Lepisosteus oculatus: one gene and its partners. The protein of the gene in region 1 purifies or fractionates together with the protein of each later gene. This does not show direct contact. Links are inferred from orthologs where the notes say so. Each region holds a gene or a part of one and is shown in the gene's direction. Other genes may lie near its edges. The genes, in order: protein arginine N-methyltransferase 8, hnrnpua and ewsr1a.

The links.
Region 2: the proteins of protein arginine N-methyltransferase 8 (region 1) and hnrnpua purify together in Homo sapiens (affinity purification with mass spectrometry; 3 studies listed by BioGRID and IntAct, counting the BioPlex papers as one, with this or other methods). This does not show direct contact. The link is inferred for Lepisosteus oculatus from reciprocal best matches to the Homo sapiens genes PRMT8 and HNRNPU.
Region 3: the proteins of protein arginine N-methyltransferase 8 (region 1) and ewsr1a purify together in Homo sapiens (affinity purification with mass spectrometry; 3 studies listed by BioGRID and IntAct, counting the BioPlex papers as one, with this or other methods). This does not show direct contact. The link is inferred for Lepisosteus oculatus from reciprocal best matches to the Homo sapiens genes PRMT8 and EWSR1.

What each region holds. Positions count from the first base shown.
Region 1 is NC_090702.1:12,133,324-12,141,111, reverse strand, and holds the start of protein arginine N-methyltransferase 8, read left to right. Parts: upstream 1-4,736; 5' UTR 4,737-4,950; coding exon of another isoform or gene 4,951-5,013; 5' UTR 5,014-5,751; coding exon 5,752-5,820; exon of another isoform or gene 5,821-5,824; intron 5,825-7,788. UniProt on the Homo sapiens protein: S-adenosyl-L-methionine-dependent and membrane-associated arginine methyltransferase that can both catalyze the formation of omega-N monomethylarginine (MMA) and asymmetrical dimethylarginine (aDMA) in proteins such as NIFK, myelin basic protein, histone H4, H2A and H2A/H2B dimer.
Region 2 is NC_090697.1:23,072,048-23,079,115, reverse strand, and holds the start of hnrnpua (heterogeneous nuclear ribonucleoprotein U), read left to right. Parts: upstream 1-4,047; 5' UTR 4,048-4,220; coding exon 4,221-4,764; intron 4,765-5,917; coding exon 5,918-6,032; intron 6,033-7,068. Other genes in the region: efcab2 (dynein regulatory complex protein 8), read right to left, coding at 955-1,039, 1,743-1,767. UniProt on the Homo sapiens protein: DNA- and RNA-binding protein involved in several cellular processes such as nuclear chromatin organization, telomere-length regulation, transcription, mRNA alternative splicing and stability, Xist-mediated transcriptional silencing and mitotic cell progression.
Region 3 is NC_090717.1:13,479,214-13,487,236, reverse strand, and holds the start of ewsr1a (RNA-binding protein EWS), read left to right. Parts: upstream 1-4,940; 5' UTR 4,941-4,974; coding exon 4,975-4,990; intron 4,991-8,023. Other genes in the region: rhbdd3 (rhomboid domain-containing protein 3), read right to left, coding at 968-1,228, 1,602-1,725, 2,146-2,535, 2,907-3,069. UniProt on the Homo sapiens protein: Binds to ssRNA containing the consensus sequence 5'-AGGUAA-3'. Might normally function as a transcriptional repressor. EWS-fusion-proteins (EFPS) may play a role in the tumorigenic process.

The sequences.
Region 1 (7,788 bases):
CATTCCACTTCTCTTAAAACGACTACCCTTACTCCTCGGCCTTCAGACCTACAGTATTTTTTAGTCTGCCTTCTTCCCTTTCTCTCCAACACCCTCAAGCAGGTGCTTCACTGCCGCCACTCCATTTTCTTCTTCTTTCTGCACTTGGCAATGAACTCCCTCCATTCTGACTTTCACTCCTCACAATCAATTAAATTCTCTGGTACTGATTCTCACTGATTCATTTCCTACTCTCTCCCTCTCCTCAGTCTTAATCCTGCTTAGTCTTTCTACCACTATTGACACTGTGGCTGCTCAATGACCTGTCAACACTTCCTGACATATATATTTCAGGAACTGCTCAAATAAGATTCTCCTCCCACTAAATATCAGATCTTCTGGAAAGACTTGCTTTGTCCTCTTTGCTCTGTCCATTGGTCTCCCAAAGCTGTGCCCAGGGACCCATTCAGTTCTCTCTCAACACCTCTCTCACCAATTTCCACAGATTCTGAAATTATTTTTGCGTTGATGATGCTCAGATATTCCACTCTTTTCTTCACTATTATGGTCATAGCTGCTACTTACACATATCTTCTTGTCACACAGGTGTCGTCACCTCGGTGGATTCCCATCATCTTAAACCCAGGTCCTTAAGGTCTTATGTCCTTTTCTTCCTTTTCTCTTCTTCTTCCAAACTGGACCTCTCCATCATATTTCCTCTTGACTCTCAAACTTCCTCCACCTCACCCCTTTCCTCTCCTCATCTGCTAAGAATCTTCAGAGTCTTATTGCCCTCCACATTCTCCTATTTCATACACATTTTATCACACTCCTGTTTCTTTAACAGCACAATCAGCAGAATCTTCCTCTTATGTACTAGCTTTTCAACACAGCTTCTAGCCAGGCTCTGGCTCATACCAGTCTAGACTACTGCAGCTTTCTTCGATCTTTCCTGTCTACTAACACTATCCATGCACTCCTACTCATTCAGAATTCTACTCTCTTTTCTCAAAGTTGCTTTGTTTATGCTGCACCCTTACTGCAGTTCCTCCACTGGTTCCCTATTACCACACACACCCAGGGCAAAACTCAAGTTCTCGCCTACCACTGTTTCATCCTCCCCACTCCTGACTTTCTTTAGTCTCATATTTCTCCCTGCGTCCACTCCTGTTCCCTATGCTCCCCCTTTGTGAAAGCCAAATTTTCTGTGTATCCGTTCTCCCACTTCAAGAGCCCATTCATTTTCCACTCTTGCCCCTGATTGGAGTGACAGCATATACAGTACTACCTGTCACGCCCTCTGCAGCCAGAGGGTGCTCCTTCTCTGTCCTGTCTCTCTTTTCCGGTTCTTTGCTGTCCTTCCGGTGTTTCTCTCTCTTTGGGGCTATATATTTCCGGGTCTTTCATTCTGCCTTCGCTCAGCATTGACGTTCGGATATCCTGAAACCCGCCTAGCACCAGTTCGCTCCATGTCTGCTACATGAGGGCATAGGTTTCTATATGGCATTCTCTGAACAGTTGAGCCTGGGCTAACCCCCAACTCGCCGCTTCGCATAGGGTCTTTTACGCTCTCCTGGCATTCCACGGTTCGTCCCTTTCTGACATCCGTGACACTACCTTCTGAAATCACAACTGCTCAGTCCCTGACCTCCTTTCTCTCCTTGCCCAAATCTCATTTGGTTAGATAGAGATAAATCTGATATTACCTGCTATATTAGATAATACCTGTCACCTCTCATTTCTTAACTATATATCCTTCGGTATATTTTACTCAGTAAAACTTGCCAGTATGACATGCCTGGGAAACTTGTTCGATGATACCAAAATCATTTGCATTAAAAATGCCACCTAGCCTTTTGTTTTGCATCCCCTAATTTTTGTTTGACTTTTGATTCTGAAGTCCTTTGGGTTCACAATGGCTTTGAAGATTTTGAGGATACATGAATTGGGTCTACCCTTTAGACCGTCACGAAAGATGGATTAGAAAATAATGTGCAATAGGTACAGTAGTAGTCATTTGGTAGCCACTTTTCAACAGTCAATTAACTATTGAGTTTGCACAGTTACTGTACATCTATAATAATCAATATCCTCAACAACACAGCATAGTTAAGATGGAATGAATGTTATAATTTCAGTTTCTTGATTCCTTCATATTATAGAAAAAAATACAGGAATTTCCCTTGGTTCATTATCTCTGAACGTAAAAAAAAAATGGCAAGTTGTTATTTTAATTTCCACCCAGAATTGGAGTTTTGTTTTAAATCTCAGGGGTGACAAACTTTCCGATTCTAAATCGGCAATAAACATTTAAAACACAAAATATGTGCAGTGTCTAAAGGAAGTATTTAGGCAATTCAGCTATTTTTTTATCTGTTCTACTAAAATTGAATTTAAAAAGAAAAAAACACTTTGGTTTAGTATTTGTGAAAGGAACTAGAGAATCGTGGTTTAACCCGTTTTAGATTAAGATCTACAGTAAAACGGCTTGGCTGTAGCTAGCGTTGGAAAACATCAAGGATTCGCTTCAAGACGTCATACTGTATACAGTATCTGCAGTGAGGGTAGGTTTGTAAAGTTCGATATTCGCTGGATGTAATTTCTTAGAAGTGCAAGGTGCCGTATATCCAAAACCAAGCTAAAACTGAAGTTTTAAATTTACTCCAAGAGTACGCTGGGTGTATTATTTTTCTCTCTGCGTCTCAGAATTCTATTTCACACATTAAATAAGGTTAGTTTTTGAACGATTTCCAGATTATAAACCATTATACTATGACATTCTCTTCCCAAGATACACGATACGCAGAAGCGTTACTATAATATAGAAAACTCTGCTACATATTCTACATTAACTTGAAGCTATGCTACATAAGCATGAAAACATTCCGATTTGTGTTTCTTAACCTACTCGTATTGATGGTGATGCTAGTTCTCTCACCCCCAGGGAAGGGGTGGGAGTTGAACGGTACAGCAAGAGGGCTTAGTGTGTGGGTTAGATTAAGTCACTCTAACTGGAGAATTTCGGCGCACGGAGATTTTGCCCTCGGAGTGGTGTTATGCAATCCTGACCGTGGGAAGATGCAGTGGTGGGTGTTGTCTGAAAATAAACACAACTTCTAATCTTAAAATTGTGAAGAAGCACACATTGGTATGCTTAAGCATTAAAATCCACCAGGCAGTTGTGAGATGCATTAATTTAATTGTTTTACTATCAAAAGGAAATTTGTGTATTTTAAAAGATACTGTATCTCCACAGAGATATGCATTTGGGTAACCTTCAGCGTTGATAGTTTTTCAGATTAGCCTTGCAAAAGCTGGTGTCTGTATGACTTGTTTTTTCCTCAACTGCCTGCTACATGACATACAATTTCGTATAGATTTTTTTGAGAACTATAAAACGCAAAAAATAAAAACGCTTATAGGTTTGTTTCGTCTCGACAACTGAAATAATTGACTTCTACAGTATGTTCTTCTGATGTCTATTTTTGCAAGAAAAGCACGTGTTCATAAAATAATATTTAGCATGCCACCTGTAAAAACATGCTAAATCGAATTCTTAACAATCACATGAAACACAATAAAAATCCTAATAATCCAACTATACATCGAGTTTCATCCAAGTGAAGGCAGCGGGGAAACCGGAGCCTATCTCGGAAACCAACAGGGGCAGGGCGGTATCTCGGAAACCAACAGGGGCAGGGCGGTATATACCCTGGGCTGGACGCTAGTCCATCGCCGGGCACACACACAGACGCGCGTTCACACCAGGGCCAATTTTCCCAATTTGTCCAATTTGCCCAAGGTCTTTCCTTGCGCGAGCCATGCTAATCTTCTCTGTATCGTTCCAAATTAGTATACTGTATTAGTATACTGTATGTGCTGCCTATGTCTTTGGACTATTGAAGGAAACTGGAGCCCGCAGACAAAACACACACGAACACAGGGAATACATGCGAACTCCCCACAGATAGCACCCCAGATCCAGAGTTGATCCCAGGACACCAGCGCTGCAAAACAGCTATACTAACCAATGCGCCACCCTGCCGACCAACCATAATAATGCCTACTTTGATTGTTCATATAATTTGCTACATTAAAATATATTTTAGGTTTTCATTGCTAGAGCTACAGTATAAAAGCAAAGCGTTTCTGGACTTTTCATGAAAATGAAGGCTAATTAACGCGTTTTTAGCAAAGAAGTCCCTTGTTAAAGTGAAAATGAGAACTAGACAACATGTTATTTTTAACTGTTCCTTATTTTCACATACTCAAGCTGTTCGGTGATATGAGACAGGGGAAATGATGTTACTTAAAATGATCATCATAGATGAAACTGTAATACTATTTTGTTCAGCTGTACTGTATACGACTATGAATGTACTGTATGAATATTTTAATCAACATTCAGACCTACATATCTAATCTCTGAAGCAAATGTTGCTTTGGCAATAATCTTATTTCGTAATACACCGCATGGATATTTCAGAATATTCAGTATTGTACGCCATTGACCTGTGTCATACTTCGGAGAATAAAATGCGGCGTTAAGTAGAAAACAACATTAAGTAGAAAACAACATGTTTTGCCATTACCACGTATTAATTCCTTTATGTGAAATGAGAGTTTTGTGTAGGAACGCTAAGGGAAAAGGGCGAAAAATGCACGGAACATACAGTACAATAGAAACGCACCCAGCAGGTTGCTGCGTACCCGAAGGGCACGGCTTCCTTTATTTGTCAGAAGGGGCTCGATCTGTCAGAGCTTAAGATCCACTGGTAACGCGTAGAGATGAGGAAGGCTGGGAATTCTATTGGCTCATATAACTCTACAAAAATGAGTTCGACTTCTATATTCAACAATGCAAAGATCTGCTGGGAAGGTGGAACAACAGCAGGAATGTGGGAGGCAGCAATTAAAGAGAGGCATTCCTAAACGGCAAGGGCGACAGAAGGATTATTTGACCATGACTATATGCTTGACTTCGCAAGTTTCAATCCTGACTCAGAGGGAAGTTCGGCTTTCGATACCAAGCAGGTGCCTAAAGAGTCGAAATCAATAAGAAAAACGGCAAATAAAAGATCACGAAGAGCTTGGCTCACTGCGATGGCAGAAACGAGTCACTCGTACAGAACTAGGCTACATCAAAGGGATCATTGAAGGAGATTATATTTACTAGTTCACACTTGCAATATCTGCAAGGTTTAACATCATCAACAGACTTTTAAAAAGCAACAGATGTATTGCGATTTTATAAATGGGACAGAGATGACTAAAATCTGACCTAGTAAAAGACAATCGTTTTGCAGTGAGAAAATTGCATAAAAGTAAGAATTTATGCATAACCTCAATGAGTTTTCACGAAGAGCCTGTTTTAGACAAATTGGAAGATGTTACGAGATATTAATTGCTCTTGTTTATTTTAAAGACACTTTAATTTGTGTGCATACTGTAGTGAATGAGGAAAAGGGAGTGTTTTTGACCCTGTCTAAAATCACTGTCAAGTGATGCGAGTTATCCCAAATCCACACACAGGGAACAACACCGTTGACAACTTTGCACTATGGATTCAAAGATCTTTTTGACTTGGAAAAGAGGTTTCTCTTGTTCGGGGACTTAAGTTTATTTTTGCTATTTATTTCTTTTACTACTGAACAATTTCTCACTAGATTGTTTCAAAGCTCATATATAAGTCAAAATAGTCAAAAAGCTAAAACAATAAAAATCAACCTGATTTTTTTACCCTCATCGAGTTAAAAAATCACTTTGGCTCTTATGGGAATGAAACACTCCTCCCGCTGCCTGCTCCTAAGGAGAAAAATGGCGGAGACCGAGAATCCAGAGGTAGGTAAGAGAAAAGCTTCGTCAAAATACTTCAGAAAATCTGACAAAACAGTGGTATGTTCTGCTATTATGCTTTATTCTTAAATAGGCTAGAGGACTGGAAAACAAATAACACAAAACCCGCTAAATTCCGTAAACAATTATCTTATGTCTATTCAATGTCAGTTGTTGCGGTCATCTGTATAATTTAACAGTTAAAGGTAGGATGGAAAAGACTGCATTATGTTTATGGCATGAGAAATGACATACACATTTATCATGCTCCTGTTCTGAGACAAAATTAGAAACCGTGGTGATTAAAAATTCATCAGCCATTCCAGACTGTAACGGATCATCGTGATTCTATGTAGCAAATGCAGTGGATAGACCTTAGGCGAAACCTTGACCTAGGTAACAGACCTGTGTCCTATATTCTTCCCTTTACGACTATGGGGAAGGCGTTTTTGTTAAAATCATATTAAGATGCAGATTAAATAATAATATTAATTATGTTAAATTACACACGACGTACTAGTTGTGAGGGTGAGCTGTCCTTGGTGCTTCAAAAAGCTGCAGTTTTCTAAATCTCTGAAAACCAACGTTACACCCGGCTATTTTACTAAATAAAAAGGCTAAATAAGGCCTTCTGATTTACACGTCGCGTAGAAGGAGGAAATCATTATCATACAGTGCCTAGTTTCACCTGGAGCAGCTACCTTACTTTTTGTATTGTAAATCTGAGGAGTTGTGGGTTATCAGATCTGACTTGACTCAGTTGACTGTACATTTGAAGCACTGAGGCAGTTATTTTTAGCAATCCGTCAATAATATGATTAATGATATTCATTCTGAAGCAGTTGAAATAGATCTGTACTCTAAATGAAAGCCTTGCTCTTAAAAACCTTTCCCTTGCTCTGTACAAACTATTAGGATTTGTACATCCATGTTTGACCCAAGAAACTATTAAGAATAGCTCTAAGCACACAATAAAAAACAAAGAAAAATTAAAAGTACTTATTTTTGGAATATTCATATTATTTTGCAAAGGAACAAGTAATAGGTTTATTCCATGCTGAAAAGAGACGAGAGAAAACACAACGTTTCGGCTGTGAAGCCTTCTTCATATTATTTTGGCTGTTAACATTGGAAGTATTGCTTTCGACTTGTCAATAACAATATTTCACAATTTTCCGATAATCGCTTAAATGCTTCCATTGGTAAAAAAAACTACCATTAAAAATGTTCAAAGCTCTTCTTTAATCAGTACTCATAAAAAGAGCAGGATAAGTGTGTTTATATTTCCTAGCCGAAACATAATGAGAAGTGTGAAGCTTATCAACAACTATTCCAGTTGTTTCAGTCCCTTACTGTTCCCCCAAATCTTCAAAGTGAAATCATTTTCATTAGCATAGGGTTTGTGAAAAAAAAATGGATGAATATTAATTTAGGAATACATGAATGGAAACAAGTAATGAGCATCCTCCAAATCAACCTAAAGTGACAGTGGTGCCTTTTGAGTCTCAACAGTGATACACTAATCAGAGATCATAAGTGCACAGTATTTGGAAGGGAACTTGACTTGCAAGTTCAGGAGGCAATTCTGATGTGGCACAAGGGATGTGGGAGTATGGAACAAGCTATGTAGTGATATTGTCAAAGCTGATACCCTGGCTTCTTTTAAGAAACTGGTGAACGAAGTCTTCAGATTAATTAGCTACTAACTAATTAGTAGCTGAAAGACCCAGATACCTCCTCTCATTTACAATCCTTCTTATGTTCTAATACATGGAAAGATTGTGTGCAAAATTTCCCTTTGTTGGCAACATAATTGTGTTATAAAAATGACAGAAGATACTCACTGAAAAACGTGTCCCCCAGTTATAGAGCATGACTCTAGTCATAAATATAACATTATATTATTTAAATATTCTTTTTTTGGGTAATATAAGTGGATGCACTGAAAATGGACGAATAAAATTCTTTAAAAAA
Region 2 (7,068 bases), on another chromosome or scaffold:
TCTACATCTGCTCTACGTAAACAAAATATTACAAATCTCTGAATTATGTTTCCTACAAAAAACAGGATACATTGCGATTTTACTACCTGCATTCTGATTAAAATGTATCATACACCAATGCAATGAAGTATACTGTACCTGTTCAATTATTCTTATAAAATGAACACCAACATATTTCATTTAAAATGACATCAAACAAAATGTCACAATGTGTATAATTACAAGTGATAACGATACTGAAAACGTATCCTTATACTATATAAATTCTATATAAATTCAAAAAATGTTTTTCGTTATCGTGATAGCGGTCACACCCTTGCCGGTGTTAAATCACCCATTGGTTGAAAAGCGCAGGTGAGTAACAAGTGAGGTACAGTACTACAGTACGTTGATACCGATTTATTAACGTCTAGTTAAAATCGATTGAGCGTTGAATACTGCACCTAAAACGCTCCCGTGCTTTGTGACATTTCCATCATAGATACGGTATGTCCCCCACCTCTTACAAATGTGCATACTGTATGTGAAAGCTTTATGTAAAAAAAAGCTCAAATCATTTGCTTGTTAATGAAATTTTATATGCACCAAAAATGTTAACTAACAGCAAAAGATGTATGTGGTTTAAAGCCTGTTCTATTCCCACGAGCAGGCTGACTGTTTCATAACATTATTTAATAAAACAGACTAGATTTATGTTAGAGCAAACTTCCCAGAAAGGCTGAAGCTATGTAACCCCCTGCTTTGGAAAAAGCTTGGTGTGGCGATACCCATTTGTCATTACAAAATACTTTGTTTTATAACAAATATTCATCACGTTTAACTAAACGTAAACATGACGTTTAAAGATAAAACCTATGTTGTATCTGCCTTTGCCGCTCTGAGATCTATGGGTTCTTTCCATTGAAAAATTAGAAAAGCAATTCGCGAAATGCATCGTTTATCTGTTGCCCAAACCTCACATCCACCGTCTTGTTGGACTCGTGGTCAAACACGTCAAAAGCGCCGCTGATCTTTTTCTGAACAGCAGCAAGTATTGCGTCTAAAAGGCAAAAATAAAATGTGCCAACAAGCTTTAATTTGAAGTAGTCTCAGTTCTACCTGCAGTACAAAACCTTCAAAGTCCAATAATACATACCAAAATGACTACAGTTATGTGAAGAGGAGTCATTTTAAATAATAAACTACTTTTGTTTAAACAATGCAGACTACAGTAGTCAAAAAGCAAAACGACTGAAGGAATCGTAAGATTTACGTCTGTAATCATATGGTTTAATCATATGGCTGGTTGTTCATCTCATTTCATCGCGAAATAGAACCTAATCGAACTTTCTATTAAATTAACAACACTGTACATGTGACTAATTATTGCTACTGCTTTCTACTGATAGACCCTCAACAGTTTGAAAGTTGAGTGTGGGGTAGACAATAAAACATAATCGTTTTTACGTTCCTTCTAATGTGCCTGTCAAAACAATCGTCTGATCAGTAAAAATAGGTACAGTACTCAGAACGGTTTGCTCAGTAAAACTAAGTACACTACTAAACAAGATTTTACTTAGTGAAGTTTGCAGGTAACGTTTATGTGAATCTGCATGACCTACGTTATCATGTCTTTCGCAGACACTTATTTGTACATTTATAAAATTAATCAAAAATGTATTTTTCGGAGAAGGTCAAACATGCTACATGCTTGAAAGTATTTTATAACAAAAAACTAAAGATCGGTAGTGGTGCTACAATACCTGCGGTATCCTTGTCTTCCGCCATGTTTCACTGCTCTTCCAGTTGCTAGGAGACCTAATGCTATCCCAACTCCCCTCAAGACTTCAGTTGTAGCAACTTTACTTTTGGATCCTTAAAACATGCTCTATGCAATTAGTAAACTGTACGGTACATTGGCATCTGCAATAACAATAAAAAAAGTTTTCCAGGATATGTATCTAAATACGTTCTACTGAAAGTTAAAATAATGTATCAATACGAATGTAAATATGGTGCACGACTGATTTCTTCAAAAATTGAGAAATTTAAACAATGATACCAACGAAGGTATTTATAATTTCCAACACGACGTTTTAGTAAAGGAAATTAATTCTAAACAGTATATTTCTTCGAAAGAAAATATGTCTGCTGTTCAAATTTATGAGGACAAATTAATTGAACTATGTAAATAAAATAATCACCTTATTTAAATATGTTAGCAATTGATATTTTAAGATACATTCATAAATTCAGTTAAATAGTTTTTGATGTACATTTGGGCTAATGTTGTTAGAATATGGAATATTTCCCCATTGAATGACAACTGTAGGACAAAATTCACAAATACTTTTTAATTCATATTTTAAGCTGCCTTGTGTGGCAATGTATTGATTTTCTGATACTTATTTATACTTGAAATGTCACATAAACACTTGTCTGTTGTGACAATTTACCAGTTTCCAGTTACCAGTATTGGTTTGTCTCTTTGAATGCATCAAACAGAAACTACACAAACATTAAAGTTTCTGATAAATTTGCATTCTAGTTTAATGAAATGTGCAACACTGACCCACACATTGTGTAAATCATATACTTTTCTGTTCTACTCAAGACGTTTTTCACTTCAGTAACTAAACTTATTTTAGTTGACTTTGAAGGGATTTGGATATGTTAGCAAATACTGTATAATGTCTGTACACCTTCATATGAAAATGTTCATGGTAGTATTCCATTATTCAATGTTTGAAGTGAAACAGTTGTATGGTGTGTTGAGGTGGTGCTGGGGCCATTGGTTCAGTTCCTTGGGTGCTATCTGTGTGGAGTTTGTATGTTCTCCCTGTGTTCAAATGAGTTTCCTTTAAGTTCTCCAGTTTCATCCCACAGTCCAAAGACATACTGGGAGGTTAATTGGCTTCAGGGAGAATGGACTCTGTTGTTGTAAGTGTGTGTTTGTTTGTATCTATGATTCATCCTATAATTGACTTCTGTCCAGTCCAGGGTGTACCCTACCTTTCCCTGTTGCTTGTCAGGATGGGCTCCAGCCCCCCCACACAACCCTGAAGTGGATGAAGTGTTTGGTTGTCTGTGTTTCTCTAAAAGCCCATTGGCAATACTAAGAACAAACCTCTCAAGTATGAAATCCCCTTGAGCTCAGTCCCTGTACAGAGATAATTCAGTGCAGCCAAAGAAACCCAACCTGAATGGTGGAAGGTGGGAGGAAACAAGAACACTCTGCAAAACTCCAAGTGCACACGGAGGAACCATGCAAACTCCACACAGACAGATGCTCCCAAATGGAATTCAACTCAGAACCTTGGAGTAACGAAGCAGTACTGCTAACCACCATGTTATGTATGTGAGTGAAAATAATAGAAAATATCATCTTCTTGTAAGCAAGTTGTTATCTGTCAACATAATTTGACAACGTTTCTTTGCCTCATCTGATGAAGTATATATGGACCACTAAAATGCAGACAAGCGGAGGATTGGGGAGCACTGCTTGTTCCCCCAAAACTATTACGCTGCATTATGCAGAATAACACGCGCAAATGGTCTTCTCGTGTTTTTTTTTTATTTGTTATTGTACATTGCATAGCTACAACATTGCACTATTTCTTTCTTTTCTGTACATTGCGAAATACATGTGGCCCTTGGTGAAATTCGCTTAGAATATGTTGTGCTTCACAGAAACATCAAGGAACAATCGCACTTTCCTAATATCTCTGCTCTGCAAAAAAAAAAAATGTAGAATTTAAAATACTTTCGGCTTTTTATCTTGGATCACTTTGCACACGATCGTGCATTCTTACTGGACCATGCACTGATATTAGAAAAGCCTCAGAATTAAAACGCTAATAAACTCCGGTTTGCTGTTTTACTAAGCACAACAGATTTGTTTCTTAACTTTTAATACATTTCTAACAAAAGCTAAAAATATGCAGGCATAACACTGTACCAAATGAAACTGTCGTCGCAGTTGTCGGCTAATTACGGTAGTCACCGCCCAATTTCTCCCTCCTTTCGCATGAATACGGTAAGAGTGTATTACGTACAACTGGCGCTAGATAGCCGCGCAGCTGCCAGTGGGAGAGACGCACAGAGAGGGACGAGCGTTGTTTGGCGCAGTAGAAATTCTAGGCGGCTTTGCTTTCTCTGTATCACTTTGTCTACAGGGCTTTCTTTTAAAAAAAAAAATATTTGTATATCCCCGAGCTTCGAGCGGAAATCCAACGGGAAAAATGAGTGCAATCAACGTAAAGAAGCTAAAGGTAAACGAATTGAAGGACGAGCTGAAAAAGCGCCGGCTCTCTGACAAGGGGCTGAAGGCCGAGCTGATGGACCGGCTGCAGGCCGCACTCGACGAGGAGGCCAAAGCCGGTGGCGCTTTCACCGGGCCCGGAGGCGAGGAGAACGGGGCCGAGGGGGGATCGGATGGGGCGGGCGGCTTCGATGAGATGGGCGACGAGCTGGAGGACGATCTGGCCGGCGAGAGCATGGAGGCCGAGGAGGAGGAAGACGGGGGCGAAGCGGACGCAGCAGAAGTCGAAGCTGAAGCCGAAGCCGAAACCACTGCCGCCGCCGCCGCCGCCGCCACAGCTGCTGCTGCTCCTGCTGCTCCGGGCGGTGGCGCAGATGTCGGCGGGCAGGATGATGAGATGGGGGAGGAAGAGGAGGAAGACGCGGGAGTCGAAATGGATAAATCCGAGGATGATGAAGATGCCGGGATAGAAATGGACAAATTCGAAGAGGAAGATGGGGCACCAGGATCGCAGCCCGCTGAAGGTTAGTCCCCATCTTAACTAAGACCCGAAACATCACGTGTTTACGCCAGCCCTGCCGGTCGGAGCAGAAGGCGCAATTGATGGCTGTTACTTAACAATACGGGCCAAACAATTGTTAGACGTGCTTCGATAGGGGCCTTGTCTTCGGACACGAAGGCGCAGTTTGGGCGTTCGTTTTTTTTCTCTTCTTTTTCTGCAAACGCGTTTTGGAGGTCAGACGCGAATGACGCGGGGTGCTATTTGTGGTTTTGTCGGCGCTTTCCAGACAAAGATCCACATGGTGCTGCCAGGCGAGATGAAATGGTGGCCCTGGTCGGAGGCGGCGGCGGCGGCGGCGACTCGCCTCGCCTCCATTGTTCTGTGGGCGACGGGCCGGGCCTGCGGATGTGTATCTGTCTCGGCTTTAGCTGTGTCCCCCCGCGACGTCTCGGATGTTCCTCCAGCTCTCTTCCCCGCGGTTGCCTGTCGTGTGCGCTTCAGTCTGACATTGCTCAAGCCGTGTCGGGCCTAGTCCTTCCGTTCCGTGCCTTCCTGTAGTGGCAGGACTTTACTGTACTTTCGTTTTTGTTTTGTCGGCTGTAAGTTTTCGGAGGCTTTTTTTTTGTTTGTTTTGGACGATTTGTTTGAGAGATTTAGACTGGTTTGAGGCGTCATATTCCCGCCGGACTGATTTTTTTTATTTTTAAATCTGTGCCTTTGAACGGTTAGTGGGCAGTAGCGGTTTTGAAAAATGATAGGGAAGGTTAAAATCCGATTTTATCAACGTGTACAGCGCTTATTGCCCACGTATTTCAGACGCAGTCTGAACTGGGAATCGGGTCTATTTATTGGGAAAACCAGGCTGGAGCTTTTAACGGCGAGAAAGGTCTCAATTTGCAAATATTTCCTGGGAGAAAGTAAACTTGAAATGCGTTGTTTGTAGTAAATGCCGTGTACATTGACCGGCATGGAGAGCAACGATGGTGTGGGGGGGAGGAGGAATGTTCATAAAGCTTGGAAAAAAATGTCTTTACAATTTTGGTCTTCTCTGTCACAAAAAAAGACCAAACGCGCTGTAGTCTTAACAAAAACATGCAGCAGTTTGTGGCCGCCATGTAACAATTCGGCTCAAACGCTGAGGTATCCCTCTTCATGTTGTGTTTTATTTTTCAAAGGAGACGCTGATAAAGACAAGAAAGGTGAACAGAAGAATAAGAAGGGTGTAAAGAGACGCCGTGAAGAACATGGAAGGGGCTACTTTGAATTTATCGAAGAAAGCAAATACAGCCGGTAAGGACCATGGTGGCCTTCGCTAAATCTGAAGTGCCACCGCGTAAGTGAATGGCTCACGGATTCACGGATGCCCCTGGGTCTCCTCTGTAAAAGGGGTAACAAAGAAAAGCCGAGGAGACCAGAGCAGCTGGGCAGGGTGGGGGTGGGGGCGGGGGCTCAGCTCGCATAATGTAGGGTTTCTGCTAGAAGGACGTCTGCCCTTTGGGTCTTCGGTTAGTGTATTTGGGGGGTAATAGTCTTATCTAAACAGTTTCACTTACATTGAGTCATCTGCAGATTAAGTAGTGGGGAGCGAAGGGTTTATTTTTTGCTTTAAGAATATCGATCTGTTCTTGAGGATGCAGGCGACTAAAATGGCGCGTTTATCCATGCTTTTCATCTAGGCATTTCTGACGGACCTTGAGTTTTGACATGCAACCCCTTTCGAGAACGCAGTTCATTATAGTTTCAGCGTCACCGTCAAATTCCTGCGCATCGTTAGAAATTGAATTTGTCGCTTTAAAGAGGAATGGGGATGAGACGTTTCGATCGTTTACAAATCTGAGAAGTTTTTTTTAAACTCGAGATGTCGATTTTGTCGTCTTTGGTTCAGATTAGGTTGCTTAACCAGAACGTTTTTGCTTTTCTTTGATGGACGTATGTTTGTGAAAGTGCGGAACTAACAATCAGCTTTTCTTAAACATGTATTTAATTATGTGGCTGTCTTCGTTTTAATCCTTCGTGTTCTTTGCGATGTGGAAGCCTACGTCTTAAAACATCATCTTCATTTAACTGTCTTAATGTAGGGGTCAGTAATTCAAAGGTAGGGTAATTCATTTTGTATTTCTATCCCATTTGATAAATGTGTCTGTTTCTTTAAAATTGGGGTTAATTTTAATTTCAGATCACAAGAGATTTTAACTGTGGCATGAAAAGCAGGCCATGTTGAGTATTTTTATACTCATTTATATTCTCATTTATGCAATGCCTGATTTGAGAAGCATGCACATCAGAATTTTGTAGTGTTTTAGAATGTTTACCTGTCTCACAATGG
Region 3 (8,023 bases), on another chromosome or scaffold:
GGAACATACAGACTCCACGCAGACAGCACCCCAGAAACTGACCCCAGGGCCCCAGCACTGCGAGGCAGCAATGCTAAAGACTGCACCACCATGCCTCCCTCACAAACATGTCTTTTAAGAAAGTATTTAGGTATAACACACGGCTTGTTTCCGAGACAACAGACAAGAAAACCATGCATTTAGCAAAATGTCATTTTTACGGTCGGACTCAAAGGAAAAACACAAACATGTCCACATACCAACACCAAGAGAATATCTCCATTAGGCCCTATATCAAAGAGAACGCATCTAAATCCCCAATGGAAGCACAAAGCCTCCAAATATGACTCAGATATAACATTTTTTCACAGAATGCTAATTCCAAAACATGAGTCACAAAACCTTAAGGCTCACAGTATCTTCTGGTTTCTATTCCTTTTCCTTCGAGTTTTTAAATGCTACACTGACCTACTTAGAACTTTCTCACTCTTGACCATTAACTTAGCTGCCACCTAAAGCACTGCACTTCACAACCATAGCAGTGGTACTCCACTGTTCTTGAAAACCCAAGACATATGTTAATTCCACCTGCATGAATATGACATGACCTGTGACAGACAGGACTGCAGTCTCTAAATATTCCTGTGTTTGACCTGTTTCATGCACACTGACAACCCTGGACGTAGGGTATTTTTTTGTGCAAACTAGCATGTTCAAGTTCAGACTTCTTTCCACACAACCTCATCTGTTTTGGTTTCAGTTCTTTTACATACGTGACCTTATTTAATTTGATTGGTGAATTACCGAGTCAACCTCTTTCAATAAAAACGACCACTACACACTTCAAACCAGTACTCTGGGGTTGAGGATTACCTATGCAGATTAGACCAGAATGTAAAAAACTGGGGTAGTTTCCTTTAGCATTAGCCCTGCGTGTCAGAAGGGCACTGACCTCTGCGTTCCCAGAACACAGGTTTCGGTGACTCACCGCAGAGATGACACTGAAGATTTGGGCAGCTCCAGTTTCTCGACGGATCCCTCAGGAGCGTCCTGCAGAGAGGCCAGGATCCCTGCTCTCAGCAGCTGCTCTTCCAAGAGCTGGACCTCGGAGACAGCCGGCACCTCTCCTGCTGCCCAGTCAGGTTCCTGGGATTTCCAGGGCTCAGGCCGCATGTCATACTCCTCCCACTGGGACCTCTGCAAGGGCTCCAGCTGCCTGGCAGAGGACGGCTCTGCCCACGGATCAGGTCTGTAACACATGCGTCACGACACAATTGGAATAAGGGCTGGATTCCATGACACAACCCAACCCTTACTGTCTCCCCAGGTCAAAGAAACCCAGGGAGAAGGAAGAATGAAGTAACGTCAGTATTCAACCTGATTATCTGAGCTCTCTACGGTCTAATGTATTAAACGTAGAGTGGAGCACCGGCTGTGAATCTAAGTTATTAGTATTTTATGAGAAGATCCATCTTCTTTGGGTGCACAGATGTCTCAGATTCACCTTGTCATGCTCAGCAGCGTCCAACCTCAAAATGACCGACCAGCTCCCAAGAGGAGATGCAGACACATGCAGGGTTCCTTACAGAGTGTTTCGCACCCTGGGCTTCAGTCGTTCCTACCTTTGACCCGTGCAGCTCACGGGAAGACTGTCTCTATAAGAGGAAAGCACAAAGGCCCTGCGTGGGAGAAGACGACAGAGATGGTCTTCTCCTTTCTGCAGCCACTTGAGAAAGGCCGAGCTATCTGAGAGTCCACAGTGAAGGAAATCAAGTATCACAGACTTTCATTTGTTAATGATTTTTCCTCACAGGTTACAGGGTTTTGGGCCAGCCAGTCAGATTCAGTTCTGTGGTACAAAGTGTCAGCCAGTAGGGAGCAACCGACTGGTATAACAGTCTGCCGTCCCGCTGCTTGCTGGGATCGGCTCCGGCTCCCCTGTGGCCCTGGACTGGATAAAGAGCTTGGAAAATGGACAGATGGGTGACATCCGGGATCTGTAACATCCGCAGTGAAAAAGAGTCTTAAGCAAAGATCACGGCTCTTTAAAATCTGGAGAACAGCAATAATGGTGCAAAATAAGCACTGTGGAAATAAAGTCTTAAAGAAGGGCCGTGTACAAGCCTGCTCCACGAGGGGCAGAGCAGCAGATTCCCACAAGGATACAACTGAATCCCACGCAGACCGCGCACAGGTGGAGCAGGGCGAGGGAGGCCGGCACCAGCAAGCAGCTGCCGGCCAGGAGAGCCCAGGGCAGGGCCCAGGCCGGGAGCCAGCGACGGGCTCGTCCCTGCTGGCCCAGGCGGCACTGGGCAGCCAGCATGGCGAAGTGGACCGGCGAGTAGCCGCCCACCCGCCCCGCCCCGCCGGCCCCCAGCCGCGCCAGGACACAGTACAGCAGGGCCGGCAGGCAGCAGGAGAGCAGGGACAGGGCCAGGAAGCACGCGCTGCCCCAGCGCCGCTCCTGCGCCGGCCCCAGCGCCAGCAGGGCGGCGCTGCTGAGGAGCAGGGCCGCAGGGTCCTGGTGGCAGAAGGCGTAGGTCCACAGGCGGTGAACTCCAAGACAAAGCAACGGACAAAGGGAGTTAACGCCAGGTCCCGCTGGCAGGGTAGACTGTGGGATAACTCTTCCAAGATCATTAAGAAAACGTATATTGTTTCCTACACTTGCTGTGTGTTATCAAAACCCATCTATTGCTACATGCAGTTACATCTAAAAACCTAAAACAACCCTTCCGTTATTTGTTTAGATTTATATAGAAATGTATGCTGTAATGATAGATCTAGTATTTTATATATTAATTCTATATTTAATTTCCTCAGCAGCTGCTAGGCAGGAGACACCCTCGTGTTCCTGTGAAAGAGAACGGTGCAGGTGCGCCTGTACCTACCGCCTGCTGCACGAATGCACCCCTGGGCGGACTCACCTTGCAATCCAGGTAACACTTTTTCCGAGTCGAGGTACAGAGTGTCGTACGCTCCGCTGAGCCAAGTAACCAGTACGGCACCGAGCAACCCGGCGGTGCCGGCTGGAAACCCGGACCGGTTCGACCCAAGCCGAGACCAGAACGAGGGGAACCGGCTAAGCATCGCAAGTCATCTGTCCGCCCATTCTGTCAAGCGCCAGGTGCCTCTTCCCCCGCCTTACTTTCAGTATGAAATCAACACCTGAAGGCTTTCACCGGCTAAGAGTCCCCTCACCACCAATTTCGTCGAAACTGAAACAGTCGAGTTCAATAAATGGTTCGTGCAATACCGTGTCTGCGATATTCAGGACTCTCTCTGAAGGTTTAGTGAACCACCGCATTGTCAACCCATAATTTACAAATAAAACCCTATTTCATTTCAGCCACGACGAAGCATATTAGGAAAAAGTACTAAACTTCCCCGAACCGCACATCCTAGAGTTAGGGACCATCACAAAACTGAACACTAGACCTGACGAGCTTGTTATCCGATGAACACAAGTAAAAGTCAAGAGTAGTTCAGGAGGGTAGCTGCGCCAGCACGCGTAGGTTGCAATTGAACAAGTAATAGGTTTATTCCATGCTGAATAGAGAAGAAAGAAAACACACAACGTTTCGGCCGTGGAGCCTTCTTCAGGTGTGAGAACGACAGGGCAGTAGGCAGAGGTAATGTAGCAGGAGAACAAGAGCTGGGAGAGAGGAGGGGACAGACAGCTCAGTTGCAGGGGAAAGTGCCTGGTGTGGATGGGTGCTGAGGGCAGTCAAGGGAGCTGTGAACAAGAAGGTTGCGCAGATTAGGTGGTCAGCGATACGAGATGATGGGTGGTCAGAAAAGAGGGCCCCAATGGAGGGATCATCCTGTAGGCTGGAAAAGTTGTTGCTAATGGTCTTGGGGATAGACAGTGTCGGGGCGGTAGGGAAGCACAAAGGTATGCGGTTGTTACGGCGGGGGTTCCTGATTGAGCTGATGGTCTGAGGGGTGTTTTTGGCTCGGGCGAGGGCCCCGTCAATCACACTGCTGGGATATCCTCTGCTGATGAAAAAGGAGCACATTTTGAGGGCTTGGTTCTGGAAGTCGGTGTCGTCGCTGCATAATCATCGTAGCCGAAGGAACTGTGAAAAGGGAAGAGAGTTTTTAGTGTGTTTGGGGTGAAATGAGCTGTACAGGAGATAGCCGTGTGAATCTGTGGGTTTGTAATAAACCGAAGTGGAGAGTCGGGGGTAGTTGACGGAGAAGTTGATGTCTAGAAACGAAAGAGTAGAGGAAGATATGTTAACTGTATATTTGAGGGACGGGTGGAAGTTGGTGAAATGATGCAGGAAGAACTCAAGCTGATCGTTGGAGCATGTGGCAGCACCGACGCAGTCATCAATGTATCGCTTGCAGAGGTCAGGGACATAGCCAGTGTAGGAAGCGAAGAGACAATCTTCTACCCAGCCGACAAAAATATTGGCATAGCGGGGTCCCATTCTGGTGCCCATGGGAACTCCACTCACCTGTTGGTAAAAAAGGTTATTGAATGAGAATTCTGTGTGAGAACCAATTCTGCAAGGCGTACCAGTCAAAAATATATGACTAACCTTGTCCTCCATCTACAAGATGTGCACAAAGAGCACCGTGAGTCTCAGATTAAAATAATTACTCGCAGGGCAGGATTGCTCTGTGTTGAATTGTCACCTGTTTGTGTTTCATCGTATTGAATTTTTCTTCTCATTGAAAAATTTTGAGACGGTCCCTAGCATGCTTTTTACGTCATGTGGGGGGGGGGGGGTGACCAACTAGAATGTACCATTTTCGAAGTGAGTTCGAGTTCCCTAAAACCCAGCGTATGGAAAAAAAATCACTGACCATAAATAAATAATTTACCCACAAGAACTAAATCGCGTTATTACGTGAATGGATCCTAAACTTTCCAAATGGATCGGATTTTTTTGCTTCTTCTCCTCCTCCTACGACGGTGAGAGTTGGTAGAGGCTTAAGCCCCTCTTCGCGCATGCGCGCCAGGAACACTCACAGAGGACACACGAAATGGCGTCAGCAGCTGGTGAGGGCGGCGGGGAAGCCGTTTCGATTTATTACTCGGTTTTATATATATATTTTGGTGAAAATGGCAAACAGATCTGACCGCTGTTACTAGATGGCACGCACTGCAGCATGCTCCCCGTCCCCTTGTGGCGGTGTTTAGGCTGTGAAAGCGAGATAATTGCAGTATTGGGGGATGGGGTGGACGTACATCCCCATTTAGTTGGAATACTTTTGAATTTCAGGGTTCTGCGCCGGTTGCATCGGCCTCTGCAGAAACGCCTTTTCCTCGGTGCCATAAGACGGGATCGTTTTTTTTTCCCCCTCATATTTTGTCCGTGAAGGGGCTGGATTTGCAGCGTACGGAAGGACAACTGTTGCCTTGTGGCCGGTGTTCAAAACTAATCAATTAAACCAAGCGCATCTCTTCCGTCGGGCGGCGTAACCCCCCCCCCCCCAAAAAAAAGAGTGCGTTTTATTTGTTAAAATGTATTTTTGCCTCCGTATTTTCGTGCGCGGTGTGCACGGTCGCTTGATCGCGTCCGGAGACAGCGGTGCTCGCCGGTGCGAGGTGAAGCGGACGGGGTGGCCGCGGTCGCGGCCTTCTGAGAGTGGAGACACCCTGGCCGCGACGGAGGAGGGGACCTCCCGCTACCCTGACGGAGAGCGGGCAAGCCGAAATGAGGCGTGCATATCTGGCGGTTGTACAGCGGCAGGGCGGGCGGTCCAGCGTTACAAGCGCTTGAATGGCGTGTTTGGGGGGATCTAGCTGAGCTGTTCGTGGGGGCGCCTCGTTCTTCACACCTTCGCGAGTCCGAGGGCCAGATGTGGTTGTTGTTGTTGTTTACTCCCTTACCCCCACCCCCAAAAACAAAACTCGCCATAATCGGAGTGCACGCAGCCCCCTGGGCGTGTGTGGGGTGTTCCGGCCTGCCGGATCGCGGGTGTTTTCCCGAGCGGCTCCTGCGCCATGCGGGGCTGTCAGACGCCGCCGGCTTGTTGTAAAAACGCTGCTATGGCGACCTCCTCCTCTTCCTCCTCCTCCTCCTCCGCGCTGCAGCGCCAGCTGCATGCCCAGGCCCTGCCGGGGTCACACGGCTGCCCACACTCCTGTTGGGGCGCAGCTGTAGGTGTTGTTGTGGGGATGGCCTTCGCTCAAACCCCCCAGGTGCTTGGTAAACGCTTATTATTATTATTATTATTATTAATATCGCGATGGACCCCCTTTTTTTTGCAGTGGAGAAGTGCGTCAGATATCAAACTTCTTTTTTAAAAAAAGAAAAAATTGCATTTTGAGCAAGGTATCCGAGCTGTATCGACGCGACTCCGCGACTTGGGTTTGTTTGTTTTTTAGCGTGACGGTGTTCCCTCAGCCCGCTGTGCGTGGTGAGGTGATGGGGAATGCGAAGGACAAAACTGCACGCAGTTATTTTGTCTGAGAAAGGCTTGGTTTTGAACCTGTGATATTCGGGCTTCTACTGCTGTTAAGGCCTTAATGTATCTTATTTTTAATTTTCCTAAATTGTAGCTAGTGATATCCTGCTGCATTTGTGTTCAGCTGCTGCATACCTGAGTTGTCCTTGTACCTGTGTGCACTTTCACGCCATCTTCGATCTGTACTATACCCTCTATACCTTAAAGTATAATTCCTCCTTTCACAGGCTTGGGATGCTTAGTGCTGTGTTGCCTTCAAGTGTCTGTGGGCTGTGTGTGAACTTTGTCCCCTGTTGTCCAACTGGAAGACTAGCCCTGTGTTATTTTACTGGACGTTGCACTCTGGGATCCCTATCTCTCCACAGAGCTGAAGTGATCATTGAGGCTGTTGTTTCAGTGTTTACAAAGGATGTGCTGTTTCATGGTTTTGATAGTTGTTTGTTCTTGCCCAACAATGTCTGTAGCTTCTAGCTAATCCTGTGGCCATTGTTTGTAAGCTCACAATGCTCCTAGCTTTCCTATTCAAACATGCCATAACTGCTACATGAGTGAATACAGTCGTTTGTATATGTGAAATACCCTTGGAATTTGACTATAACTAAACATGATGAGATTATTTTAAAAAGTCTGCAGAACTTAATGCTAGTGATGTTTAAGCCTTGCTTTTCCCTTCAGTTTTTTTGTCTTTACAGTGCTTGACACTGTTAGGCATTTGCATCTTGGTTAGAGTTGTATTAATTTGGTCTTCAAATTCCAATACAGACAGCAGACTCTTTTGTAATTCTCCTGTCTTTCTAGGTTTTCTTGCAGAATATACAAGTGTTTTAAATTACATATGTCTAATCCCAAATATGTGTTTTTGTAAAGGCTTTATATTGGATTCTAAATGTGCTTTATTTAGAATTCATGATATTATCTAAAACTATTCCACAAACATGCAGTGACTGGTAGTTTAACGTGTATATGGCTGTTGCCACAACTGTAATGTACTGTGTACATTGCTTTCTATGCTCTGAAACCTGAGCAGGTAATTTTCTCAAATGCCCTGTTTGAAAAACAGTTGTAGTCCAGTTTATGTAAACTCATTATGGCCCACAACTGTGTAATGCTATTGACAGGCTTTACCTGAGGGTCTTCCATTCCTAGTTCTGCAGAGGTCCAGCACAAGAGGTTTTGTAGTTTTCTCCTAAATTATGTTTGTAAAACTGTAGAATATTGTAATTGTGATAAGATTTTTAGCAGACTTTTATAGCACAATTATAAATAAGTTAGGCATCAAGAGCCAAAGATCCTTGAATTAAGATTTGCCCAGTAATTGTTCCCAGTTTTTAGACGTAGGCCCAGGTGATTCAGGATGACCTGTGTTTAATTGACCTGATAAATCATGTAGTGTATTTTGAAGCTACAACATTTCATCTATCAGAACAGTCTACATATCTTCATTGTAGCCAAGAGTTGAAGACTCCGCAAATATAGAGCCAAATGATAATATGCTGTCTTTAAGACTATACAGGAAAGTGCATTTTAAGGTTCCAGGATTAAAGTGTTCCTACCATTTCATTATTAGAGAATAGAGCCGACAGCTTTAGCATTAATTTCCATCACCTTTTAGTCATCAAAG